Linked DNA regions of Oryzias latipes. The protein of the gene in region 1 interacts with the protein of each later gene in a biochemical or structural test. Links are inferred from orthologs where the notes say so. Each region holds a gene or a part of one and is shown on either strand. Other genes may lie near its edges.

What was found.
Region 2: the proteins of fga (region 1) and plat form a complex in vitro, tested with the Homo sapiens proteins (2 studies listed by BioGRID). The link is inferred for Oryzias latipes from reciprocal best matches to the Homo sapiens genes FGA and PLAT.

Annotation. Positions count from the first base shown.
Region 1 is NC_019876.2:1,411,277-1,422,370, forward strand, and holds fga (fibrinogen alpha chain), read left to right. Parts: upstream 1-4,568; 5' UTR 4,569-4,593; coding exon 4,594-4,604; intron 4,605-4,683; coding exon 4,684-4,861; intron 4,862-5,013; coding exon 5,014-5,118; intron 5,119-6,160; coding exon 6,161-6,344; intron 6,345-6,426; coding exon 6,427-6,572; intron 6,573-6,655; coding exon 6,656-6,754; intron 6,755-6,830; coding exon 6,831-6,983; intron 6,984-8,486; coding exon 8,487-9,099; intron 9,100-9,704; coding exon 9,705-10,414; 3' UTR 10,415-10,667; downstream 10,668-11,094. UniProt on the Homo sapiens protein: Cleaved by the protease thrombin to yield monomers which, together with fibrinogen beta (FGB) and fibrinogen gamma (FGG), polymerize to form an insoluble fibrin matrix. Fibrin has a major function in hemostasis as one of the primary components of blood clots.
Region 2 is NC_019867.2:6,185,771-6,196,740, reverse strand, and holds the start of plat (tissue-type plasminogen activator precursor), read left to right. Parts: upstream 1-5,021; 5' UTR 5,022-5,072; intron 5,073-8,775; exon of another isoform or gene 8,776-8,909; intron 8,910-10,460; 5' UTR 10,461-10,503; coding exon 10,504-10,566; intron 10,567-10,795; coding exon 10,796-10,838; coding exon of another isoform or gene 10,839-10,919; intron 10,920-10,970. Other genes in the region: ikbkb (inhibitor of nuclear factor kappa-B kinase subunit beta), read right to left, coding at 165-327. UniProt on the Homo sapiens protein: Converts the abundant, but inactive, zymogen plasminogen to plasmin by hydrolyzing a single Arg-Val bond in plasminogen.

The DNA.
Region 1 (11,094 bases):
TCCTAAACTGTTTACATCGTGTATTCTGTCTCTTCCTTCAGCCTGAGCCAACAGTTCATGTATGTTGAGGTAAAAAAAAGAGGTTCTGGCACTAGACGTGATTTTTTATTAGATTTAAGATGGTCGATCTCCCTTTATGAAGATCGCTCAAACTGAATTTTTATTCTGCCAAAATCACCAAATTTCACACTTTGACACAAAATTGCTGCCAAGCCGTGGGTCCTTTGGCCATCCCATAATAACCGTAAAACTCTCTTTGGACATCCCTGAGACTTGTGTTTTGGTTTCATTATTGGGTTTTTAAATGAGTAAGGAATTTTGGCCCCATTCATTTTGTGATGTCATCATTTTGTGATGTCATCATTTTTTTTGAAAGCAGAATATGAACAACTTTCTGTGCCGTGTCAAAATAACTTGATTGTCAATACTGCTTGCCTAGTGGGGAGCATCTGCACAGAGACCGGTAAGTCGTGGGTTCAAATCCACAGGCTAGTCATCCCAAAAGCTCTCCTATTAATGCCTCCCCTCCCGGCTTGACACTCAGCACAAAGGGGTTGGATCGGGGGGTTAAACCACCAAATGGTTCCCGTGTCTGCAGCTCACCGCCCCCCCAGGGGAGGGGTAACATGCCGGGAACAAATTTCACACACACAAGTGTTTTTTACAACTTTGAACAACAACAAAAAAACTTTCTTTGCTGAAAAAAAACTCAAACCTTCAAGTCCTGAACTCAGTTGTTTGTCAACAGACACACAAGGAAATGGAAGAAAAGTAAAGAGATGCTTAGAAGATCTGGAATCAAGAATTCAGGTACTTAAAAAAAATAAAAAGAATTCAGGTACTAAAAGGTTTCGTCTGTTTTCCCTTTAGTGAATCTGAAAGACACAACTTCCTGTGAAGAAGTTGAAGTTTGTGCAGCTGAAAAGGTCGGACGATGATCAGACCAACATTTGAAGAGACGGATATCAGGAGGTGAACACAGAAAAAATCCCCACCTTTGAACATTTATTTTTGCTGGTTGCTATGACTACGAGCTTCTGGTTCCTCATGAAATGACTGATCAGATCAACTCCAGGTTAATTAAATATTGATTTTGGAATAAGAGATTGCTCCACTGAAACACAGAGTTGAAGTCCTAACCATTTACCGGCTCTGTGTTTGGTTTAGAGACGTTGCCACGGTAACGTAATCTTAGTTTTCTTCTTCTGAAGAAGAACTTTTGTCTTCAGAAGTTCCTCAGCTTTAGCCTTTTGCTTTGCAGGGAGTTTAAATGATCCACGTGAAGTTCAGAGGTGGGTGGCGGCCGCCATGTGGGTGTCGTTGTGGTGTATTGTGGGGGAGGCCTGTGGTCATTTGGTCTTTTAAATGAGCGAGTTTTCTTCAAAGGGGGGCGGACAAACGTCAGCCGCAGAAGAAGCACCTCTTCTCTAATTGAGCCTCTGGAGGTCGGCTCCATCGGCCTAAATGGGATTCAGCAGTTTGGTATTCTGCCTGCCATGCAGATGATTTATTAAAGGTAACATTCTTTGACTGAAGTGCAGATGCTGTGGATAAAGAGGATCCGGAGGTTTGAGTCCGTGGACCCGCGTCCTGCCACTTTTTCACCAACGATCTCAGAAGCTGAGCGGCTCTGCTTGTCCGACATTGTTGTAACTTTCCATTTTGGGGAAATGAAAGTGAAATCCAGGTTCAGTGCTCTGTACGTTAAGTAAAGAGAACCTGATACAAGCCGCTGAAAACCGACTCCATTAGCATTTAGACTGGTTCCGCCGCTGTAGAAGACTTCTTTTGTGTGAAAGCTCGCGGGAACATCAGGCCTGAATGTCGTCTGCCTGCTCTGGCGGCGGCAGAGACGGATACGCTTTTGTTTGGATGGAAAATATATATTTGTGCCGCATCGGCAAAAGAAGGCGAAACGATGTGGACGCCCAACAGACCCGACGAGAAGGTCAGAGAAATAATACGGCTGATAGAAACCATCAGGAAAAAAACGCTGAACCATTCAAATCAAAAGAATTATTGTTTCTAAGAAATAAAACCATCACTGAAATCAGGACATAATCCATGAATGTGTGGAGAAACAATATGGACTGTGAGCTTCAGGTGTTGTTCAGGTCAGACCAGAGATTGTCAGGTGTCGGGGTGAATTACATTTAATCACAATAACAATAAAGTTGTTAGTAGGCCAATAGTTTGAAGCTGGGGAAACTATGGTGCACTGGGGTTCTGTCCTCTGTTCTCATCTACTTCTACTCTCCTCTATTCTTGATCCTTTAGTTATCATTTAGTCTCCATGCCTCTGTTTTTCCTTACAGAGAAGGAGGATCTAAAGGCAGAGATGCCAGTTTAGTTTAGTTTAGTTTAGTTTCATTTAGTTTAGTTTACTTTATTCTGTTTAGTTTAGTAGCCAGCTGTAGTATTTTACAACTGATTTTAGGTTTTGTACTGATTATCGGTGTGAAGCCCGACTGTGTGGTAATGTTGGGCTGTAAACATTAAATTTAATTGAATCTTACTTTACTGTACAGTCATCTCTTCCTCTCATGTGGTCATGTGACTGGGTTTGTTTAGTGAGTGAAGGAAAAGTCTCCATTGACCTAAACTTTCTCTGGTTGCCATGGTGACAGCTTCCCGGGGGCCCGCACACACGTACTTTGGTCGTCTGTGATCTGCAGTGATTTTCTGCTGATCAGATCACAGTTTTTGTGCCAAACGTCAGGTGTGTCACGTCTCAGAGCAGCACCGTAATGAGATCATTCTGAAAGACCCCCCCCCCCCCAGTTCCACATGCAGCTGACCAAAGCAAATTCTGCAGGAAGACGGTGGCATCTTCAAAGTTCTGTCAGTTCCAGTCACGCTGCGTCCTGCATGAATTAGGGTCAGTAACGGGGTCTTTAAATGGAAAATGACTGAGTTGCTTCATTCAGGCTCACAATATCAGCAAAAGGCACTTCAAAAGGCACTTCAAAAATGTCCCACTTCAAAGGAGAATCATCAAAGGACGGGGGGAGGGGGGTGTTGGCCCGTCTGCGTAATGACAGTCGGAGTTTTTGTCCTGCGCAGCCGGAGGATGAGTGGATGTCAGCGGCTGGAGAGGGCGGAGCAATTCTTTGTGCTCCAGACGATGTTCAGGAAATCAACATCATTTAACTCCGCCCCTTAGAGCCCCCCCGTCCTGCGTCTCCACCTCGATCCAGAGGACCTGGATCAGGTGTGTTCGGTCCAAAGACTGTAGGCAGTGCTCACAGCCTGCACTGAGGTCAGGGACTGGACCCCCGAGTGTAGAACTGCCCACCTCGGGGGTGGAAAGCCATCGTCTGCCTCCACCTGGTGGTGGGATCAGGCACACGCAGGGCAAATGTCACAGTTTAGAGGCATTTTATCACACAACATGTCAACTGTCAACAATGGTGAGAAACGCCAACACAAGAATGACACAATCATTTAAACCACAACAAAAGACAAACAGAGAAAAAAAATGACTTTAGATTCATTTGTAACCCTTGTGCTATCCTATGGGGTCAAGATGACTTTTAACGTGTTCTCCCTACCATGACAAAGGTGGATAAAGGTGGAAAGATTTAATGTAATCCATGGACACCAGTGAAGATCACAAATCATTGAAGAAAAAAGGTTCAGAGCACTGTCTAGTGGGTCTAGATGACCCAACTCCCAATGTTAAAGTGCCTAGGATACCACAAGGGATAAACCAGAGTTTGCGTGTTTCTTCTGCAAAGCCATGAAGGTCTGCAGTGTTTCTGCAGAGAAATAGTTTATACAAGACGACAAACTCTAACGATGTAGTCCAGAACTAACTAGTGGCCTGGATGTTAAAAACCATTCAGACACCGTGCTCACTATTTTGGTTGTTTTAAACAACAGATATGACGTCACTGATTTCACAAAGTCAAAATCTACAAATTAGGATCATTCAATGTCTTTCATATATTGGAATAAAGCTTTGACATGTCACACCACTCCAACTGTAGGTGGCAGACATGTGCTAGTATTGGGCAGCGCCAGTCCAGCTCGTTCTAGAACCTGTGTTCAGAGCGTTCTTCAATGTGCATCACATGCCTGGTGTCCACGCATCCTTAGACAATCAGAGTGTAGTTAGTGTGGACATCTTACGGGCGTCCGATGACCACCTATTCATCACACTCGGCATTCGCGTGATGTCATTAACGACTAGAGTGTGGTGTACGACACCCACTTTCATTAGCCTTACTGCGCCGTGACAATGACGTCCTTTGAAGTGTATATGAGACTCAAGGGAACTGCTCTGCCCTTAACATGCAGCGGCTCCTCTCTAGGAGGACAAATAATCTGTGTCAAACATAAAAAGGGGGAAAAAAAATGTTTTTAAACTTATTAACTGAGTATTTGTGACAAAGCTTTTGTGACAAAGCTTTTCAGGGGAACCGAGGTGACCTGAGGTCTCTTTAAAAGACTTGAAACATGGCTTTTACTGGCTCAAACGCTCATGTGACCAAAGCTTGACTCTGCAAGTCTCATTCATCGTACAGGATCAGTCACAGGATGAGTCGGTCCTGTTTACCATCAGGGAAAGTTTGCCTTTGGAGGACGTGGAGGATGGGCTGCTGGTAAGCTGTGCGTGTTTGGGTTCACAGATTGTGTACTTTGCCACAGCAGGACAACAAACAGCGACGTATCGATCAGCAGGAGCCGTTGCTCAACTCTGATGCGACCTGACGGCCGGCGGCTCTCTGGTGAGTCACAGCTTTGGTGGAGGCCTTCAAAAGATGTGACTGCAGCTGCGCAGATGCAGTCAGACACAGAAGAGAGAAGGATGAAGCAGCTCGTGGTTCTCACCTGCCTGCTTTGTGTGGCTTTCACACAGGTGAGACACGCCTCTCTGGAGGTTTTAAGTGTTGCTTCTTTTTTGAGGATCCCAGAGAACCTTTAGTTTGAACTATATTTCCGTGAGCTTTGGTCTCTTTCTGACGCAGTGACCAGCCTCTGGTCCTCACAGCCCAGTCTCTGTTGTTTCAGGACACCGTCATCGACCCCAGAGGAGCTCGACCGGTGGAACATGGAACCAGAGACGAGAAATGTGCCACGCAGAAGGAGTGGCCGTTCTGTCTCGACGATGACTGGGTACTCTTCCTCGTTTTACCGCCTATTCATTCAACACACGGTCAGAGTAGCTGAAGTAATGGTCCGGGGGAGGAATGTTGTGGTTTTCCTAAAAACCTCCTCAGAGACTCTTTTCCTTTTCACGATTCCCTTCGAAACGGTCTTTGCAGTACGGAGCGTTCGATGAACTTAGCCGTAACGGATAAACGTTTTCTCAAGAATCGACACACAGCCTCGTCATAACACATGTCACCAGGTTTGACCCCCCCTTCAACCGAAAACACAAAGCAAAGAAGGGAACCACTTCAATAAAAACAGAAAAACAGCTGTGAAAACTTTGGATGCACAAGGAAATTCTGCTAAAACAAACAATTTACTGACGAAAATGTCTTCGTTTAGCGATCGCCTGACATGCTTCCTTCAAAGATACAGATGATTAATGGTCAAGGGCCATTGATAACTGATAATTGCACCCAATAAAAGTATGAATATGGGTGTCCAAATGTCAAACAAAAGCCCCAACATTTACCTTTCTTTAAACACTGTAACCATGTTATATTTTGGAGGAACACGGATGACAATAATCTTTAGCATCTCTATACTTATGTTGGACTTAAACTCATTAAAATGTTTTTGGGGTATAAAAGGTAAAACCTCCTGACTTCTGTAAGGGATTCATGTTTGCTTTAGGTTTTGCTAAACGCTCAGTTCATCGTCCTTTAGGATTCGTGGTCAAGTCTTCAAGGTCATTCTGCTCCTTTCCACACTAAACCATCAGAGACAACCAATGAACGCGCTTCCTCTAATAATGTCATTTCCTGTTTTTTTTTATCTTTCATTCGTAGAGAAAAAAATAAGCAGACAGTCTTTGTCCTGCAGCTTTAAATTGTATATTTTAATGCATCATTTGCAGAGATTTAAATGTCACATTTTTTATTTTGTTTATATTTTTTTTTTTGGGGGGGGGGGGGGGGGTTACTTAAACCCTACAAAAGTTGATTTAAATTCATTTTTCTGTCATTTTCTTGTAGTGTGTTAATTTGACCCCTTTTGTCCACCGTAGGGCCACAAATGTCCTTCCGGCTGCAGGATTCAAGGTCTGATGGATAAATATGACCATGACCTGCTGAAAAGGATCGAGTACATCCGTGACCAGCTGAATCAGCACAAGGGAAAGTATCGCTCTGCCGACCAGGTGTCCAAGCAGACCCACGACTACCTGCGGGAGAAACTCACCGTCGATGCAGGTCAGAGTCAGAAAACCGTCTCTTCTCCTCCTGGATTTGGTGGACAGGAAGTCCCATCGGTTGTGCTATCGTCTCCAAACAGGTCACGACAACAAGTACTTCGAACTGGCCCAGAGTCTGCGTCAGAGAATCACAGAGATCAAAATCAGGATTGACAGACAGATGAAAGTCATGGCCGCCTTGAAGGGGCGAATCAGGGAACAGGTCACGGAAATGCAAAGGCTGGAGGTATGGAGAGAGCGCAACATCTACCTGAACCTAAACCGGTTCATCTGTTGGTGGTGACGTCTGTTGCTGTTGCTCTCTGGCAGGTCGACATCGACATGAAGCTTCGCTCCTGTAAGGGATCCTGTGCAACCTACCATGAGTACCAGGTGGACCAGCAGAGCTACGTCACCCTGGAAAAGCAGGTGGGGACCGCCGCAGTTCCACCACATCAGTGAGAAGACCTGCTTTTGAAGGTCTCTCTGTCTCTCTGTCCATCAGGTAGCCCAGCTGGACTCGCAGACGCCACAGAACATCGAAGCAGCCGGGACGCTCTACGTGATGAAGAGCCGGCCGCTTAAGGACCTGCAGGTGGACAGCATCTACAAATCCAAGGCCGTGCAGGGTCAACAGAAACAGGACCTGTTCAGTGACGTAAGCCACTATTGACCACCCAAAAACACCTATGTGCCATTTTTCTTCAACGCAACAACAAATAGTCACAGGATGAATTTTTGGCTAAAGATGTCTAGGATCAATTTTAGGTCAGTGGGTTGTTCACAATGAACCGATATGAATCGTATCTGCGACCACACATTATGATATAATCCCAAAATGAATCGTCACACCCTATCTTAACCCCCAACACCAGAACTGAAGGTCTAACCCTAACCCTAACCCTAACCCTGATTGTTGATGTTCTTTGAACCACTGGGACTTCAACCATTTACGCAATTAACGTAAACCGAGGAATTCTGACGCTGAGGAAAGCAGCTTTACGTCAACATGCAACACTTTACGATAGCATGCTAGTAGCTTAAAGTGTTGCATATCGGTGCAAAGTGTTTTCTCTGCCTAAAGATCTGTTCAGAATGTTTACATGTACAGAGAGCTCTTAGTCTACAACACTCTGGTCAGATGTTACCGTGGTTCACCTTTCGCTGTCGTTCTGTTTCGCAATTTCTTTGGTGCAACTTTGCGTCTTTTTTACAGGGTATTGTGTTCTTCGTCCTGGTTGGCTGCTGACCTTGTCAATCAGTCTCATCTGTGACATGTCTCCTCTCCAGAGTTCATTCTTTTTTCCTTTTATAATCCTGGACTTTTTTTATGTATGAAAGTTTAAACTTTGAGAGTTGAATATCTTGAATTACCCTAGCTTCTAGCTCTTCAATCACGCACCGCGTAATTCCAAAGAATTAAATATCGACGGAAAGCGTATTTTCTTTGAGTCAGAATCTGTTGGACTTACATTTATTGGATAAATCAATAGAGTTACAGTTTACATTTGGTAGAGTGAGGTTTTTTTATTTTGTAGTAGCAGATGGATTTTCAACACATGACTGAGGGACTTGACATGTGCCAAGAATGAGTCGGGTGTGGTGGAGAGGGAATCTGGTCGATTTTCAAAATAAAACTTCCTTTAGAATCAATTTGGAACAAAAATTGGGAAAAAATGAAGATCATGATGTGTTTACCAACTGTCCCACCAACCGGCCCGTGGCCTGCGCGTTGGGAACCGCTAAATTTAAGATCTCCATCACCTTGCCTTAACAAATTACCATATAAAGTATCAATACTAGAAAATGTTCAACAATTGAAATTACGTTATTCGCGTGAATGGTCAAAGAGTTACTGTAGTTTACGCAAAGATTGTGTGTCTTTTCTTGTCGCAGATGAGTTGAGTTTGATAAGAAAAGTAATTAAAAAAAATCTTTTCGGGATCTTTCCCAAATTGGAACTAATGGAAAACTGTTGGCCCGTCTTTTATCACAAGCATGTACTGGTACATTTCTGAGCAGTTCTGTGGAGATTCTCAGGAAAATAAAAATTGAGGATGGGGTCCAACTGTTTTTACTTTGTGACTTTCCGAAGTCTTTTAAAGTTGAAGTTTAATGTTGACTCCTATTCTGAAGTTTTTACCGCTTTCATTCCTTTCAGATTAAAACGCTTAAGCTTGTCCTGGAGGAGGAAGGCTCCAGCTCGTCTCCCGCAACCGTCTCCAAAGAGCCAGGTACTCCTTTCCCGTCAACATCATCATCATCATCCTCATCATCCTCCTCCAGCTCTGGTTCCTCCAATCCATCAAAGTCCATCACTGAGCTTGGAGGACGTGGCGACACAGACTTTTTCGGTGGAGGGTTAGGAGGGTTTGGCGGTTTCAGTCAGGCGAGTACAGGCAGTGTGACCACCAAAAGTGTCAGTTGCACCACCCATATGAAAAAGGTTGTGGTTCAGACAAAGGCTGGGCCAGTAGAAAGGTACGAGACGGTAACTGAAGGGGGACCAGAGTGCCAAGGGGGAGCTGATCTCACCAAGGGTGGGCTGACTTCCTTGTTCCCCAGTTTGAGCCACACATCGTCCTCCATGTCAACCAAAAGTGGTTTCAGCAGTGGAGCCAAAGGAGGGCTTTTAGGAAATCCGTTTGAGGGCGACCTTGGGAGCGACCTCGGAGCCTTCATGACCGACAACGCAGAGGATGATCTTCCGGATTTCCATGCCCGGAGTCTAGGGAGCACGGTCGTCAACCGGCAGGCCGATTATGTAGGAAAAGGTACCAAAACTACTGACTTGGAGTAAAATCTGCAAAGCCAAGAAAGAAGGAGTCAGCTAGATAGCAAATTTCAGCCTGTTAGCTAGCATTAGCATAAACACCAGACGTTAATGCCATCGTCCCAACTTTTTTGTAGCCTTTAGCATAATTGAGAGCAAAACAAAAGGTGGAAATAAAGAAAATGATGACTTGAAAGCATTTAAACCTTTGGTTGCTTCTTTTACTTTTTTAGCTTTTTTATCAGGGTTGTAGCTACACGCTAACTGTGCCTACCTTTGTTTGCTAACAGCTGAAGTTGCTACTGTGTCATCTGTTGTGCTCCTCGCTAAACAAATTAAATAAAAGAACACAAGTGTTTCTTTGAGTTCACACTGCGTCAGCGTTCTTTACAACAACACAACTTAACCATCTAGCTGACCTAATCAAGCCTTTACTTACGTTCCAATGTCTTCTTATTGTTACGATGGTTCAGTTTGTGAGCACCAGTAGGGCCCTAGAACCTGGTCTTAAAACATGCCTGTAGCCTGATTGTAAATGGGTCTTAAAATGGGGAAAGCTGCTCCACGCTAACTGGCGGTTTGCTGTGTGCCCCTCCTTGTTTACAGATTGTGTTGAAGCCAACCAGAAGCACCTGAAAGGGGAAACAAATGGCCTGTTTAAAATCAAACCCGGCGGCGCTGACTCCACACAGGTGGTGGAGGTTTACTGCCAGCAGGAGGGGGTGATGGGGGGCTGGTTGTTAGTTCAGCAGAGGGAGAGCGGAGCTCTTAGCTTCAACCGCTCCTGGGCCGACTATCGCGGCGGGTTTGGCTCAGTCGATGCTCAGGGCAAGGGCGAGTTCTGGCTGGGCAACGAGAACCTCCACCTGCTGACAAGTCAGGGTGAGACCATCCTAAAAGTGGAGCTGGAGGACTGGGAGGGGGGAAAAGCTAGTGCCGAGTACACGATGAGGGTAGGCTCAGAACAGGAGGGCTTTCCATTGCATGTCTCTGGCTACACAGGAGACGCTGGAGACTCTCTGGCCGCACCAACGTCAGAGAAAGCCTCTGAAGTGACTCACGACGGCATGAAGTTCAGTGCATTTGACAAAGACAACGACAACTGGGGGGAGAACTGTGCCGAGGCGTATGGGGGCGGGTGGTGGTACAACAGCTGCCAGGCGGCTAATTTAAATGGGGTGTACTATAAAGGCGAATATGACCCAGCGACAAACACGCCGTATAAGACCGAGAACGGAGTGGTGTGGTCATCGTTCAAACCCGTCAACTACAGCCTGAAAACCGTTCGCATGCTCATCCGATCCGCCGCTTTTTAACTAAAGAACAGCGCAGAGTCTTAAAAGCAGAAAACCTTAAGTTTCTTTTTGTATTTTGGTAAACAAACGAGTCGAGGTGTTTTTTATTCACCAAAGCGTACTAGGAACCGTCCTCCCACTGTTGACTAGGTTGACAAGGACACTGTTGTTAGCTCTATCCATCCAAAGTTCCTGACCTGATGTTTTCTGGATTACTGAACTCTGTGGATCAATAAATCACCTTTGTTCCATCAATAAAGGTTTGAGAAATCATTCTAGTTGCTCTGGCTGTTTTTTTCCACACACCATGAATTTCACAAGAAATAAAGCCTCAAGAAATGTTCAGTTCTTGTAGTTAATGGAATATTTTTACATTTATCTCTAAATTTTAGTTACCTGTGTTATTCAACTAGGTAAAAGATTCATGTAAAGGTGAATAATGTCAATATATTGTAACATAAATACATTTAAAATAAGCCTAGGTGGACAAGTGACTTTACAGCCACTTTACATAATAACGGAGTTTATCTGCAGGTTAAATTTTGGTCTTATTTCTTATCTCGTCCATTAGTATCATGGTACTTTCCTGTTTGTACATTTTTGTTTCTTCAGTTTAGTTCTTAAAACCAATATAGAATTGTGAAGGTTCTTCATAAGTTCTCTTTACTCCTTATAGGAAAGACTTAAATAAATCTAATAAA
Region 2 (10,970 bases), on another chromosome or scaffold:
AACCCTCAAACTTGTATTTTTCAGTCTCAATGCTGCTGAAACGTACTTAAAACTTCTGCTCGGACCTTCTGTGTGTTCACAAACAAACATATTTGCTAATTATTTACTTAATTGTAGCGTAGCACACGTGTAGTTTCTATCAAAGTTCGATTTTTTTGTCCTACCTTGGTGGTGAACACTGTAAAAACGGTTCAGAAACTGCAACAAATGTTGTGTTTTGAAGGTTAATCTCGTATTTTCGGGGAAAGTTTGAACAAATCTGAAGAAGTTGAGGACTTCCTGCTTTTCAAGTTTCCTGTAAACCTGGGGGACTGACCCCGCCCACATGTGGGCGGAGCCAAAACAAGACGCTTTCTTTTACTTTCTTTTGTTTTATCTTCTATTTTTTTTAAATTCTTTTATTTCTACTCTCTAAAAGTTTTACATTGATTTGTTTCTTTTATTTCTGTTTTAACCACAGAGATATCTGTACTTAGCATCGTTTTTTATCATCTTTTCCCTCTTTTTAGATTAAATAAAACCCTTTTTGAGGACAAGTGCTTCCTGATTTTTTAAAATTACACCTGAAATACATAAACTTAACTTGCACAAACTAAATAGTCTTAGTAGCAGTTTTCAAAGCAGCTTATGTATCGATTATTTCTATAAAAAGGCTTAAAAACATGTGATTTTTTCTTTTTCTTTTTTTTTATTACTTATCTATATTTGGTAAAAAATAAAACCTTTTTCTTTAAGTGTTCTTTGATGATTTTGAAGCAGCTGTATTATTTTGCCTTCACAAAACATATATTCCAAAATTTTCTGCTGATATATTTATATATTAACTCAAACAAAAGTGATCTTCACTGGACCTTTTGTTTGTTTTCCCTGCTGGAACCCTCACCTGAGGAAGTGATGTTTAGGTGATTTGTTCGGATATGTTAAATTAAACCGTTTGACAAATACAGGCACTGAGGTTGTTTTAGGTCACAAACAGCCAAGTTTGTTGTCAAAAATAATTTGAGCAGGAGGTCCTAGATATATCTTTAGGGACCACATTTCTGGTTGATAATCAGTCATTTTAGGCACACATTTGCAAAGGTTTCGTTTAAAAAAAGGTGTTTAAGTCAAGGAACAGTTTTTGTTCTGTAAAGTTAAAGACCCACTCCAATGATAATCGTTTTTTTTGTGTTTTTAACACGTTCTTGTAACAATTTATGTTGATGGAGGACATACAGTGTGTAGAAAAACGCAAGCTTAAAATTGCATTTCTGGGTATTTCTTCATTAAAATCGTGAATCAGGAGAAGAAGAAAAAATAGGAAAAACATTGTACCGGTAACTGTGATGCAGAACCTGCAATGCAAAGTCACAAGCTCATTGCTCCCTTCTGATACATCCACTTGCAGACAAATAGATTCATGTATGTCTGAGCTGGCATCTGGCTCAAAACTGTACAGCTGGATAGCTTCAGTATTGCTCGTCATTTTAGTTGCACCAGTAATGTTAGGTTGGGGTTGTGAGGGGCTGTAAGCTAGTGGGAGAGTGTGTAAACAAAGGGATGATGGGAAGTAGGAACTGGCTTGAAAATGAAATAAATCAAAAGAAGAAACCTCAGGGGTGTCCACAAAAACGTAGGATCCTCCCCCTGGACGGACAGGCGATGTACCAGAACCCTTGGAAGAATTAGCTTATCTAACTCGACAACTACATGTTTAAATAGTCCAGCAGATGGGCTTCATAGGCTTCTTAGGGTCCGCAACCAAGGGTAGGAGCAAATCATAGATTGTTTTTCTGGTAATTTAATTTAGATTAATGATGATAGGAGAACAGGCATTTATTTCCTGTTTGCACACTTCCACAAGTGTGGTCCGGAAAGTCCGGAGCTGACAGCGGTTTTCTCAAGATGTACAGTAAATCTCTGTCTGTCATAATAAAATTCAAGTTTTACAATAAATCCCTGAATTTCCAAAAAGACATCTTAATATTGAAGCTTTTTCTGTGGATTTTGGTTGATCTGCAAGGAAATAGTAAAAAATAATGTCTTCATTCATCTGTTCACCTCTGGAATAAAAGCAGATCATCACCAAAACAGAGTGGTTGAACATTCCATCACTCCTGTGCGCTCGGATCTATCATTTTCTGCCATTTCAGTCATAAATATTTAGAGAAACAGTTTGGACACATTAAAGACTTTTAATAAGAGTAACGCTTGAGTCAGCCTCTAACTCCGTTTCAGTACCACTTAAAATATACATCTGTAATCATCTCCCTTCAGTTACTCATCAAAACAAAAGACAGAGATATTGTTTAGAGTATCTTAGATTTCAAAGCGTTTGCAAAACCTGTTTTTGTAAAAACACATTTGAACAGAAGCATCGTTACTGATTATCTTCCAATTTTTTGAGATGTCCATCAAATTTGTTTGTAGGATGTTCATGTATTAAACACTCACCAGTAAGGATGTTGCTTATAAAGAGCTTTGGTTTCAACTGAAGTCAAAGGTTCTTTTTCAGTGACGTCATCCCATCGATTCTTTTGCGTCTTAGGTTGAAAGATGCTGGATTTTTTGGAAGAAGAGGCACTTCAAACTTTCCAGCGTCACACAGTGATGCTGTGGAGGCTATTCTTAGATGGAAGTGTTTATCCGGAATCGAAAGCATCACCGGGCTTTGCTCTAAACGCTGAGACTCTGGTGGTTTGTGATGTTTTTGTGGTGTAATCTGTGAGAACGGTGTTATCAGATTGGACAGTTCAGGAGGAGGATGGAAGATTTTCCTGTTTATGAAAACAGAAGGAGATACGTCCCCCAGAGAAGACAGCGGTCCACCAAATAGGGCTATAAATGTGACACGGGAAAAAAAAACAGTTTTTGCTTTATTTATTTTGTGTATAATTTATTTATTTAAGCCTCAGATTATACAGATTTAGCCCCTAATTACATACTACAGAACCCACATTGTGTTTCCAAAATATTCTAATTCTTAATTGTCTCTACAATATAAATTAATTCCTTTAATATTTAAGGAAGACATTTTACAACAGCTACAGTTTGTTTTCAACCCCATTCATTTGTGTTTTTAAAAGTACAAATGGAAAAATTGACAAACAGAACCAAAAACAACATCAGCAAATTCCTGCATTTCATCTTACACTGCAAAAACTGAATCTTAGAAATATGAAATAAGATTCTAGTTTCAAGAAAAAATGTCTTATTTTCTATTTTGCAAAAAGGATGATCAAATCACGTCAATTTTAAAACAGCAAAAATAATCTTAATTGTAGAAAACTTTAGTGTCTAATGTTTTTTTCTTAAAATAAGAATTCTTGTTAATATTGGTAGATTTATATGCTTGTTTAAAGAAAATGCTTTGTATTATTTTTTACTTTTTCCCAGGGGGGGGGGGGGGGGTGATTCAGCATTGTAGACCCAAACAGTATGAACCCAACACACTTATTTTGTTGTTAATAATTTCTGTTTGAACTAGTTCTAAATGATAGCTTTCATGTATAAAAAAGGGGGGGGGGTGAACTCTATAGAAAATAATAGAACTTCTTACCATCATAGATGTTGGCTTTTCATAATAAGAGTCTTGATGGGGTTTTTTTCTTTAGATTTGGAGCACATGTTCAACTGATACATAGAGCAGCCATTCAGCCAGGTCTCTTACATTATGACTTCTTTAGTGAACTTGAACTTATGCAAAAAAGTTTGAAATTAAGTTTACAAAAGTAATTCCATTGTGCAGGGCTTGCTTGATTAGTATTTCAAATACTATCATTTCTGCTCTTATGTTAGTTGTTGTAAAGCTGTTGAGGTAAGCAGTTAGGGCTTTGGCTGTCTCTGGGGGTAAATTTTATTAATGGGCGAATCAGATTTACCTGTCCATGTAGTTAGTCTATGAAGGTCTGTCAATCAGCATGTCAATAATTAATATAAAAATAAAAAATTAAACTTAAAAAAACTGGAGATTTCTTGGTTCGTCAACTAGAAATAATCTGAACTTTTGCATGGTATCCTTTTTTTGTGAAGAAAAGTGAAATAAAACAGACACAAATTAGAGTGACGCCCATTACATGCTAAAATGATGCACTCTGAGTAATACCATATGGGTTTCACTGCTGTACAAAGCGGTTGGCATGAATATTCGTGTAAAAAACCCACCTTAGTTCTATTGTTGAGGCGGATTTCCTGAGGAAAGGGATGGGTTGAACAAAGGGGGGGTGGTGGTGGTGGAGGGGGGGGGGGGGGGGGGTTGTGGTTGGGATGAATTAGTTCTGGTGCCAGACACAGAGTCTCTCCCCATCATCAAAGATGCCCCGTAAACACTATCTCAATTAACACCTGTCAGAACAAAACCACACAATGAATAAATGTGACACTTTTCATCTTTAAGGATTAAAATGAACAAATTATCTATCACATATGAAATTCTTTAGAGGGGAAAGATCACAGAATAATTCAATATTATTCAATAAAATAGTTTTTGACGCTTATGTTGTCTTTATTTAGATCCAAAATAAACAATAACCCTGTGACTATGTCTGATTCTCTTTTGCTTGTTGCCAATAATTTTACAATATTGTTGAATTATTATTCAATGTACACACAGATTATTTTATTGTCTTGAACGGGGGATCATTGAAGAATTTTTGGGGGTAATCAAAGCATGGTGACATTTAATCTGCTTTTGTGTGAAAAGTTAAACGGTGTTTTTTTTTTTTTAAATAAAGAAATTGACTAACTGACTGACTGACTGACTGACTGACTGACTGACTGACTGACTGACTGACTGACTGACTGACTGACTGACTGACTGACGGACACAATAGTTTAAGGACTAACTGTATTGGACATGTATTTCTTCCTAAAATTGGTCTGCTGCTGCTAGGGTCCCTCCCCCGCGTGCGCGCGCGCTCGCGCAACCGTCATCCTCCTGCCCTGTAAAACGCGCTTACGGCTGAGGTCACGTCGGCCCTCCCCTACAGGATCCTGCGGGACCGGAGCGGTCCGATAAAAGCTGCCAGAACCATCCCCATCCAAACCTGAGACTTCTTTGGACGGAACCACATCTCATACCGACACCAGACCCGGTAAGAACCGTTTTCTCTCCTCTGGTCGCTGCTGTTTCCTCTTCCGACAGACCATCGCGCCTGATTACTGCGCGTTTATTCCACACTTATAGCAGTTTGTATTCATTTAGCACGAAAATGAAAACTGTAGATCTGCCGATTTCATAATTATCTTTTGGACAGAATCTTTATTAGACAAAAAATGTAAACGCAAAATAACAAAACAAAAAAATAGATGTTTGTTCAAAGATACCTGAACAACAATGTCTAACATTACTATGTATGTGATGTGTATTATAAATATAACCTTTTTTTTACTGAGCTGTCATAGAATTATTTATTTTAGCATCATTACTTATATTCTACAACCTTTAACACTATCGGAATTTGTTTAGAGTCACAAAGTCTGACCGCACTTTTTTTTTTTAGAAAAAACTCTTTTTTAAATCTTTGTGTGGCCATTAAACCATTCATATTTAAAATATAGCTTATAACTATTTACAATAATCGAATTACAATTTTTTTTTTATTATAGGCCCATTACTTTTGACAGCATCAAATAAAAGTTCCTTTCAAAATAAAATGCACCCTGCTGCAGTAGATTAACTTGAAATCATGATTTTAGAACTTTGCAGCTGAATAACAACTAGACATTAGAATATGAGCTTAAATGTGTTGTAATGATAAACCACTCTGACAATAGATCAAACTTTTTACCATCATCTTGCAAAGTTATTTGATGTGCGTTGATTTTGGAGGAATGGTAACGTTCTCAATGCCTCCTGATTTAGTGGAGTAATGTAAGGATTGGTTAAAAAAAATCAAAAATAAATGACAAAATGGAACTAATATTAATTCAGATTGATAGCATTTTTCTTTAAAGCCAAAGGGCCAAAATGGAGAGGATAAGAGTGGCTCCGGAGCCTCAGGTTGCAGACCCCTGTACTAGAAGAATCAGGATGAGAGGGTGATCCTGAGGTAACCCTCCTCCTGTCAGGCTCTGAGCTTCTCCATCACTCCGATTTGAGCTTAGAAAAAGCAGATCCAGAACCTTCATTCTAAGCGCTCAGCTGGGTTTCTGACTCACATTATCAGCGGCTTAGGCCTTTAAGTTTGCCTAATTAGACTGTGGGAACAGCTGATAACATGTAATGTTTGTATTGCTGGGAATTTCTCTGTGATTTTTGAAAAAACACCTTTAGTTGGAATAAAAGCAAGCTATTAATCCCACAATGCCTTCATGTCTGCAGTCCTGGAAGCTCGGATGACTCAGAACTACTCATTCTTACTCTGTTGACCTCTGAGATTGGATTTCTTCCTTTCTCATGGCAATATCCTTCTCCACATCCTTTCATATCCTCACATAAAAGCCAGTTTCTGTTAGAGACTCTTGTTTCCTGATGCCAACAACTAACAATGCTCATCTTTGTTCTGGAGAAACTGGTTCTCTGACTGACATAAAAAAAAACAACCTAAAAGTAATTTACAACTTTTTTTAGGAAGTAATCCCAAAAAGTATTTTGAAGGTGTTATGAAAGCTGTAGATACAGAATTTTCACACTCAAATTTGCTTTAGAATTCACAATCCTCCAAATATTGGAAGAAAAAATGAATAATGTTACACAAAAACGTCCAAATATTTATGGCTAAAACAGAGACGGACGGCAGACTTCCCCATAGAAATATCACTTCCTTATTTCTTTTCTTTAATTGTCTCTTCTTGCTTCCTTTTCTCTATAAAAGTCGCCTTGTACTTTTTCAGATTTCCCCTGAAAGCAGCTGTGAAACCTGACATATGTGCAAAGACACAGTTGACATCTATCCAGGTTGGACTTTTTGCAGTGCTGGTCACGCAGAGCATCCACGTTCCTTCATGTTTTCTAAGATCTGGAGCCCAGCTGGGCCCCTTTAATCGTCCATGCTGACACCAGAAATGAGGAGGGGAGGCTCAGGGATCCACTTCAAACTGTAATTTGAGTTGAGCAGCAAAGTGCAGCTTTCTGCCTCAACTCTATTGTCCTGCTGACTTTTCTGTTCGGTCACAATACGAGAGAAATGTCTCACATCCATTTACACGCTCAGTACACCATCATCACACTTTTGAGAACTCATCACAAATCTCCCTGTTAAAGACCTGTTCCTGAGACAGGAGTAGCTCTGTTTACTTTTGTTTGCATGCTTTTGTTGTGTTTGCCCCACTGAACTGCTGCACTTTTAGACCTGCTATTATGATTCATAGTCTGGCTTCAGATTCTCTGAAGATGTTTGTGGTTCTTCCACTCATATCTGACCTACTAACAGGAGGAACTACACTCCCTCTACACAGGCTGCATACTTGGTTGTATGTGTTACAGTTGTGAACAGGCTGGGTGTAGCACACAAAAAGCCTTAACCCCATCATTGCTGGTGTCCAATAAGCTTCTATCATGAGGAGCTGAAGTATTTGCTTTCAGATTTGATCAAAATTCGTTTAGAATTCCCAGTTTAGATGAAATAAAATCGTCTTAAATAAGAAAAATTTCTACATTTTGACTTAAAGTCCCACTCTGATCATCTTTTCATCTATATTTAAAGTATTCCCAGTGGTCTTTCAATTATAATTATGCAATTTTTAGGAAATTAAAAAAAAAACAACTGTCGTTTTGTAAGACATAGTTTCTGCAGAGCGGCAGCACTTCATTAGAAATTCATGAGCAGGACTGTTGGTGTGGAGTAAGCCCGCCCCCTTCCCTATCATTCACACCCCCAACCGAACATTACCGGTGCAGTAGATATATGGTGAGCAATATCCGAAGTAACCAGTTTTAATGCAGAGACAACTCAGACGAGGGAAACACAGACATACATGAATCTAGTGGAGCGGAGCAGGAAGCTTGTGGCTGGCCGTAGTAGCTTCTACAGTTTGTCACACCTTCAAACTCCAAATTCACAACATATTGTCTAAAGAAAATAAGCCGAATTTTCTTTATATATTCCTCCCTCATCAGAAAAAAGCCACAGGAACCTGTAAAAAACAAAAAAACAACAACAGAATTTTCATTAGGGTGACTCTTTAAGATGTTGATTTTTTATTTTATTTTAGTCCCTGAACTCACCGTTGAGTTTGCCAATCACCTGGGATTTTTACAGTGATGCAGGAATGGAACCGACACCCCTCATTAGGATTGTTTTCATTGAAAATTTTAACATGAATGATTCAAACAATTTTAGCTTGGAAATAACTAGGGTTCTAAAACATAATTGTGATTGCTCTTGGAAAAAAGCCTTGGAACTTTTGTTCAGTGGAGCTTTGTCTCTTTTTTTATGAAATTTTTTCACATTGTTTTGAACTTGTCTTTGATTTGATCGTGGATTTAAACATTTCTATTTTGTTTCCACATGTTAAACCTTTTCTTGTAAAACATAAAAACAATTTGATCGGAACTTCTTTTACTTTTGCAGGGGGGGGGGTACATTTTCAGGTTCATTATGAAATTTTTGTGCGATGCAACCAACAATATCTGTTCGAAAAGAATCTTGGGTTGTGCTAAGAATATGGATATCAATCATTACCACAAAAACTGGTATAAAGATAAATTAATCGAGCAAATTGTAAAGTAGAAAGTAGGTTGTGTGTTTGCTCGTAATAAGATGGAAAACAGACTACAGACGATGCAGAGAGCCCCTTCCAGCCTGCCCTGCCTGTGTTTTAACAGGAAACACATGTTTTGAGCTGACACGGCTGGAGACTGAACCACGCTGAATAGCTGCACAAAGGAAACACAAAGGAAACTGCTGTTTTGTTGTCAGTGAGGCTCGGCCGGCAGAGGGGAGGCTCAGAACGGCAGCTTTTCGTTTGCAGACCTGTCTTTTTTGGTGGTGAGTGTGTGTCTGTTGCATGCTTAAGGGGGGTTTCAGACAAGGAAAAGGTTGCAGGGTACAACCGTTTCTGACTTCTGGTTAGCTCCACAGTCCTGAGCCCTTTGTGTGAGCTCTGAGCATGGGTCTGTGTGTATTTGTGGCTGCAGACGCAGCTATTTTACCTCTGTGATGGCTCAGAACACAAAGCCTTTTCATAAGATCAGTCAACCCCAGAAAGTGAGTCAGTGAGGACCTATCTTCTTCATCTCTGATGGACTTTTCCTTCAAAGGAGCTTCCTAAAGTGGTTTTTGAAGCTGCAATAAACTCTTCCTTTCTGTTTCTCTGGTCAAATGGGTGCAGCCCCCCCCCCCCCCCTATTTTTTCCCCTTCAGATGGTGATTCATGTTTATTCACTCTTTACTGAGAAACAGCTGTTCCGTCATGTAACACACATACCCTCCATTTTTCTCCACTCTGCTGGAGCTTAAATCTTATCAGGTTAAGAATCCTGGTTGGATTGTTTGAAGTGGTCGCTAATGTTTTTAGGATGAACATATTCCACTCTCTGTTTATTTCAAGGGGGAATTGGCATCTGTATGTGAATAAACTTAATGAGAGAGGGCTCAAAAAGAGAATCTAAACAAATCAGGGAAGAGAACTGAGGAAACTTGTTGGCCTTTCTCTGCCGAGAACTCATGTAAACTTTAACAAATAGCTTTTAGTTTTGCCAGATTGTTTCTCTTAAACAGCAAAATGATAGACATTTAGGAAAAGGTATAACCAAACAAGAAGACAATCTGTTTTTCTGCACATGTTGACAAATATTGATCGCTTACCTGCAACATTTGCAATAGGATTTTGCATGTCCATGTGCATCTCAGCTTTGACATCTTAGATTATATGACTTTACTACTACTATACTGCACAGAAATCTGTCTTTTTCTGGAGTTTCTGGAGTTTCCTCTTCTCTTGAATACCTATTTAAAAATCCATACAAATGTTGTCGTAACATACTTTTGGGATGAAGAGAAAGCACAAAAATACAAATACATATGGCTGCTAGATTGGCTTTTTTGAGGCAATATTCTGGTAAGCAACTGGATAATAACATTTTTTTATTTAGGATACTGACAAATTGCAAGAGTAATTTAGGGTTAAAATCATCTAATTAGTATTCTCTAATATTGAAGGATTTTTATTCCTGAAAATATTTTACTTAAAACTGGAATTTTGTAAATTTGCTTACTCCCACTTCTTTTTCTGGCAAATAATTAAACTCTTTTTGACAATTGTATCATCAAGTACAAAATATGTCCATTTATGATTAAGAATAATTATGATGCCATCATTTAGATGTGTATATATAAATATGCATATGTATCTTCACTACTTTTTTTTAATTTTTCAATCAAAATGTGACTAATCTATACTTTGATATATCTATGAATAGATGTATATCTCTTTTGTTTGTCTTCTTTAGTATTTTTTGTTTGTTTTGATAGCTTGAAATACATTAATTCCTAATTTTTAATTTTTAATCCCCTGCTGTGTTTGTGTTTTGTTTCCAGCAAACTGAAGTCCACCTGAAGTGAAAGTTCACCTGGGGCAACCATGACAAGATCTGTTCACCTTTTCTTTCTCCTTTCTGTTCTCTGCTGCAGCCTAGCGGACAATGTAAGTATTGCAGGGGATTAACAAGTTAATGTTTGTATTTTAGTTCTTTTATCTGTATTCTAGTGTCATGTGTAAGTAATCTTACATGATTTCTTCCTGCATGTTGATACAATTCATAAAGTTTTATTTCTGTAACAGACTTGCACTTTTTCATTGTTTTATGGAAAAAATCGAGTCTTTTCAGGCCTCATACTGATGCTCTGTGCTTACATGGTCGTTTGTGTTTTAGGCGGAGCAGCCCCGATCCAAGCGAGGAGCTCGTTTTTACAGAGGTGAGCCTGCCAGGCAGCCCGCTAGACAGACGCTTTGGATTATTCGTGTCCAGAAGTCCTCACCTTCCTTTGACAATCCCCGTGAGACTCATCCCACCTTCGTCACTAATTGCATCAACAGCATCATTTTCT